Linked DNA regions of Coturnix japonica. The main gene of each other region encodes a partner of the protein of the gene in region 2 in a complex. Links are inferred from orthologs where the notes say so. Each region holds a gene or a part of one and is shown on either strand. Other genes may lie near its edges.

Evidence for each region.
Region 1: the proteins of TJP1 (region 2) and GJC1 are in contact, whole or in part, in a crystal structure (PDB 3SHW), measured with the Homo sapiens proteins. The link is inferred for Coturnix japonica from reciprocal best matches to the Homo sapiens genes TJP1 and GJC1. Residues at the interface, in NP_003248.3 of Homo sapiens: Lys429, Ser432, Val433, Gly434, Leu435, Arg436, Leu437, Gly449, Val450, Leu451, Val484, Leu487, Leu488, Leu549, Asn551, Gly552, Lys553; in NP_001073852.1 of Homo sapiens: Lys391, Thr392, Ser393, Val394, Trp395, Ile396.

The regions. Positions count from the first base shown.
Region 1 is NC_029542.1:749,303-751,756, reverse strand, and holds part of GJC1 (gap junction gamma-1 protein), read left to right. Parts: intron 1-413; exon of another isoform or gene 414-488; intron 489-614; 5' UTR 615-633; coding exon 634-1,818; 3' UTR 1,819-2,454. UniProt on the Homo sapiens protein: One gap junction consists of a cluster of closely packed pairs of transmembrane channels, the connexons, through which materials of low MW diffuse from one cell to a neighboring cell.
Region 2 is NC_029525.1:5,085,677-5,089,334, forward strand, and holds part of TJP1 (tight junction protein ZO-1), read right to left. Parts: intron 2,648-3,658; coding exon 2,542-2,647; intron 1,835-2,541; coding exon 1,684-1,834; intron 1,193-1,683; coding exon 1,084-1,192; intron 468-1,083; coding exon 248-467; intron 1-247. UniProt on the Homo sapiens protein: TJP1, TJP2, and TJP3 are closely related scaffolding proteins that link tight junction (TJ) transmembrane proteins such as claudins, junctional adhesion molecules, and occludin to the actin cytoskeleton.

The DNA of each region.
Region 1 (2,454 bases), on a different chromosome or scaffold from region 2:
AGTCAACAGCAGTTGCCTGCTCTCAGGTTTTGGCTGGGTGGCTCATTGCTACCTTAAAACAGCTGGCATTGCTCTGTAGGGTCCTTTCTTCTGTTTTTAGTGGCTCTGAGGTATGCAATATAGTTAATCTAATAGTTTCTCTCTCTTGGCTGTGGGTGGTGGAGGCCAGCATTGTTAGCTCAGATTTCAGCAGTGAAAACAAGTCCCAGTGTCAGCAGTGGGACGTAGGCAGCAGTGCCCATAAAATGGCACAGGAGCTGAGCTTCTGATCCACTGTATTAAGGAGATCTCAGTCTGAAGTGTCAACATTAGAAATGGAGAGCAGCCATGCCTTTCTCTTCTGTGTGGAAGCAGCTTTGGAAGCAAGATTTGTTTGTGCAGTGGCAGAGAGCTGCTACTTTATTTCTTGACAGGAGACTTCCCAAAAGCCTGCAAAGGAGACGTAGATCTTCGAGCAAGTCCTGGCGGCTGGAGCTTCCCGATAGCAGGTGATGCCACATAAGAGTTCTGTGTTGGTTGTCACATTTGAGCCTTTCTCTCCCGATTGCATGTTTGCAACGTGCAGGCTTGAGCTCATCAACTCAACTCTTTTGGGGGTTTTGTCTGTTTTCTAGGTAAAATAATTAGACCACCATGAGTTGGAGCTTTCTGACCCGTCTCTTAGAGGAGATCCACAACCACTCCACCTTCGTTGGTAAAATCTGGCTGTCGGTGCTGATCGTGTTTCGGATCGTCCTGACTGCTGTGGGAGGCGAATCCATTTATTATGATGAGCAAAGCAAGTTTGTGTGCAACACGGAGCAGCCTGGCTGTGAGAACGTTTGTTACGACGCTTTTGCTCCTCTTTCTCACGTGAGATTTTGGGTGTTCCAGATCATTCTCGTTGCCACTCCATCCGTCATGTATTTGGGCTACGCCATCCATAAGATTGCCCGGATGGTGGAGCACAGTGACATTGACAGAAGGTTCAGAAGCAAAAGCTTTTCAATGCGCTGGAAACAACACCGCGGCTTGGAGGAGGCTGAGGATGACCACGAGGAGGACCCGATGATGTACCCAGAAATAGAGCTGGAAAGCGAACGGGAGAACAAGGAGCAGCAGCCCCCTGCTAAAGCCAAGCACGACGGGCGGCGGCGAATCCGTGAAGATGGACTGATGAGGATCTACGTGCTGCAGCTGCTGGTGAGGGCGATGTTTGAGATTGGCTTTCTGATCGGTCAGTACCTTCTGTATGGTTTTGAGGTCAGCCCCGTGTTTGTGTGCAGCAGGAAGCCCTGCCCCCATAAGATAGACTGCTTCATTTCGAGGCCGACCGAAAAGACCATTTTCCTGCTCATAATGTACGGGGTGAGCTGTATGTGTTTGCTTTTGAATGTGTGGGAGATGCTCCATTTAGGGTTTGGCACGATCCGGGACACGTTAAACAACAAGAGGAAAGAGCTGGAGGACTCTGGTACCTACAACTACCCCTTTACTTGGAACACGCCCTCTGCTCCTCCTGGCTATAACATTGCAGTCAAACCCGATCAAATGCAATACACAGAACTGTCCAACGCCAAGATGGCCTACAAGCAGAACAAAGCCAACATTGCTCAGGAGCAGCAGTACGGCAGCAACGAGGAGAACATCCCTGCCGACCTGGAAAACCTGCAGAGGGAAATCAAAGTGGCTCAGGAACGCCTGGACTTGGCGATCCAGGCATACAACAACCAAAACAACCCCAGCAGCAGTTCCAGAGAGAAGAAATCCAAAGCAGGCTCCAACAAAAGCAGTGCCAGCAGCAAATCAGGGGACGGGAAGAACTCTGTCTGGATTTAACCTTGGCTGAGTTTATATGTTGTCTTTTTTTCTCACAACCAGCAACCCGTTGAGTAATGGCTTCCATTAAGTAAATATTTGGTTCTGCTTATTTTCAGGGATACTGTTGGCTAGCGATTCCAGCTCTAAGAAAGTGTTTATATGCATACTGTAGGACTGTACAACTTTATTCTTCTGCCTTCCAAGCCAGGAGACAAATAGGTATATTTAAATCATTCTCATTGAACGGTTTACTCTGTATGTACAGTACTATCGTACACTTATTATGCACAATTTTTTGTATTTGTACACTGGATCTCCGAAGTTACCCTTTTTTTTATACGAAAGGAGGAACCTGTAGGTAGCTGTTAGCATTTTGCTGGTTTTATTACTGTGGTTCGTCAACGTTTTCTGTTTGTTTTCAGTGTCAGAACTTTCTATGCTGCATTTGAGAAGTGCCTTGAACACACAGCACCGGGGAGCCCGGTTATCCACTCCCTTAGAGCAGGGGGAGGTTCAGAAAACACCCGCTGATGGTGCTCTTGACTGTACCTTTTTACAGAACTGATGTGCTACTTACAAGTGGAAGTGTCACGCTATAGCTGTTACAGGCTACGTTCCTTAATCCTATGGAAAACGACTCATGATTCCATATAT
Region 2 (3,658 bases):
GAGTCTCGCATTCACAAGAAAGAGCTATGTTACAGCTGTTTCTTTTTCCTGTGGATGTACAAGAGTTGAAACCAAATCACGGACTAGCAATCCAACATCAGTTTGTTTCCCATTTTAACAGGCACTTTTTCCCCAACCAGCTGAACAGGTTCTACAGACCGATGTCCATCAGACCCAGCAAGTTATACAGATGTGTAATTAAAAATTGTAGTTTTCAAACAACAGCATAAATACTTTAATACCGTACCTGTTTTTGTTAGGTATGATACCTCTTTCAACTTCCTTATGATTCTTGCCAATTCGAATTGCCAGCCATGAACCCAGTTTGCCATTATATAGGGTGTCCACAACCCGAAACACTTCACCTTTGTTGAAGCTTAGTCCATAAGGAGATTCTTTTTCATATTCAAAATGAGTTCTGATATAGAAAGAATCCCCTACATCAGACTCAACAATGCGACGATAAACTAAAAGAAGAAAAAAGTTGCTGTTATACTTGTCCCAGTAAATTGCAGTCATAGTGCTCCTGAAAAGTGTTGGGAGCGCAGTGTTTCATTTTAATTCTCCTTGTTTTAAATATTACTTCAGAAAACCTTAATGACTCACAGCTTCTGTTTTAAGCTGTGCAACTATTACAAAGAACTCTACAAACATAAATTCAACTTATGCTGTCAAAAATTTGTTAGTATAAACTGAATCCACTTCCTCAGGAAGGAATGAGTCTCACTGGGAAAGAAAGATTTTCAACAGAACAGCAAAAACCAGACTTCTTTTCCTGCCCCCTCATCCCATCCCCCAAAAATTTCATTAAATGCTGTTTTTTAAAAAAATAGAACTGTTGTAGTTTGCTTTGGGGTTGGTCTTTTATTGTGTTTTCTTGTTTTTTGGGTTTTTTTTTCCTTATTTAAGGAAAAAAATTACTACAGTATCAACCTTTAGCCCATTCTAAACCCAAAAGAACTTTGAATAGCCTTTTAAAGATGCTAATCTCCTTCTAGCCAACAATTATCCTTTCTTAACTGTATTTTTTAAAATCTGTTTCCAATCAGCCCATTACACTGCTTCAGATACACAAATACTTACCATCTTTCTTCTTCTGTGCCAAAATGGTTACTTCTTCGCCTTTAGGGAGATCAAGTAAAAAAAGGACAGCTTCTTCTCTGATGATATTTGTGAAGTCTACGTTATTAACCTAGCATCAATGAAGTAATCAGTTTGATTTAGCATACATCATTTAATAGACACACAGCTACATAACAGGTAAACTGAATTAGTTTATTGCTGAGATTGTTTACTCAGCTTAATATATAAGAACACCAAGGACATGGATCTCAGGAAGATACAGCTCTAAAAGAATACTACTGTTTGAGATAAGCATAACCTCTGGAACATTAGACAGCTGCTCATTTTGACTTCTTTAGATTAATATTACAGAACATCTATGAACATCAGTAATATTAAACTGTAATATACAGAAGCCTACTTGAGAATCCAGTGGGGCCCAACAGTTAGAGGCATTTTCTTTGAACTGAATTTAGTCTCAGAAATTGAACATAAGTCTTACAAACTTTTCTAGCAACAGTAAAAGGAAATTCTGTTGCCAAGTCATGTAATAAACATGCACTAAAGAAACAAAATCCACTTTGGTATGACAGAACACTTGTGCTATTATATTCAACATACCCTGAGAATTTGGTCTCCTTCCTCTAATCCTTCTTTCGCCGCAGGGCTGTCCTCCAAAACACCAGCTACAAATATGCCAACATCATTGCCACCAGCGAGCCGCAGGCCCACACTATCCCCTTTTCTGAATTTTACCAGTTTCATGCTTGGCCTAGAAAATAAGAAGATATTCCACTTTGAATTGCGTATATACATGTGTGTATATAGAGATATACCTATATATCTATCTCTGTGCACATGTGTGTAAATATACATAAAGTGTTTGAGTAATTCAGACTGATGACATGCATATAATTTGCCTACTGCTTCAACTAGAGGAGATATTATACTACGATTACCATTGATTGCTTATCAACTATACCATTATACAACAGACTCATCTGCAGCACTTAAAAATAACAAAAAAAACAACTTACTTTACTAGTACAGCAAAGTTTGTCTTACATTAATATAGTGTTTTAAGAAGCATTTTGACACTCTCTTCCCAAAGCATTCTGCCCTTTGGAAGAGCTGTGCTAGTACAGAGATTTATTCTGGCTCTTCAGGGAATAAGATGAACTTTTGAGATTACCTCAGCTAGAATATACTCTCACTGATGCTCATAAAGGAGATTCAGTTGAATTAGACTCATTTGCATACCATGACTGTATATTTCTGTAATTATTTTAATTGGTCTTCAATAATTACAAAAGGAAAAGATTTTTCTGAAATTTTTACTCTACTATTTCCAAATAGAGGCACCCGAACAGCATGCTGGACTTCACATCAGACCATTTATAAATGTTATTCATTAACTTAGAAGAAACATTGCTCAAGACCAAGGCAACAGGACTCAAATAGAATTTAGAGTTATGTTACCGAAGCATTCCATCTTCATGGGTTGAGTTGGGTAAAGGACCATCAGATGGACTGACTGGTAAATCCACATCTGGCTGACCTCCTTGTGCATATACTGGCTTTGGTTCTATTAAAATACAGAAGACACTGAATATCCGTTTGGGCATTTACAGATAAGAAAATAAAGCTTAATTTCAGAGCTTCTTCAGTAGTTTTTCTCTACCCACCAACCCTCTTTATGCTAGAAACTGAACATTAGAAATTTACAACAAGAAACCTTGTCATTCAAAGCAGAGCTTCATCAACATGTAGAACTGCAAGAACTAAAAGGTTTTATGCTCTCTCAAGACCATTTTCAGCCTTGCTCTTTCCTTTAAGTTAGGCACACTTAGATGCATCTAACATAACTTCCCACATTTAAGAGTGCCGTGTCCAGTCTTGGGTGTCTCAGCTCAAAAAAGACAGGGATCTCTCAAAATGAGTCCAGCAGGGAGCCACAAAGATGATGAAGGACTCGAAGCATCTCCTATTTGAGGAAAGGCTGAGTAACCTGGGTCTGTTCAGCCTGTGGAAAAGACAACTGAAGGGGGATCCAATAAATGTTTATATCTAAAGGCAGATGAGAGGCAAATGAGTGAGGCCAGTCTCTTCTCGGTGATGCATAGTGATACAAAAAGGAGAAGTTCTGTATAAACATGTGGAAGACCTTTTTCACTGTAAGGGCACTGGCACAGGTTACCCAGAGGGGTTTGTAGAATCTCCTTCTAGGGAGATTGTCAAGACCTGTCTGGAGACCTGCCTCTGTGACCTACTGTAGGGTACCTGCTTTAGCAGGGGGGTTGGACTCTTAGTGCCCCTTCCAGACCCTGCAATTCTGAGACTTCCCCCATTAAAGAACCCCTTGATTTATGCAACAAAAGTACTTCAAACACTAGAACTATTGCTGCACAGCTTGAGGATGGCAAATTTCACTGTATACTATGGTGCAGTTGGCTCTTAAAGATAAATACTTATGACTCTGCTGCACGGATTCTCTAGTTACTGAGAGGAAAATATCACTGCAATCATCCTCCAGCAGTGGACACTATTACTGTCTATTATTTGCTACATGGTTGCACATGATACAAGAATTTGTATT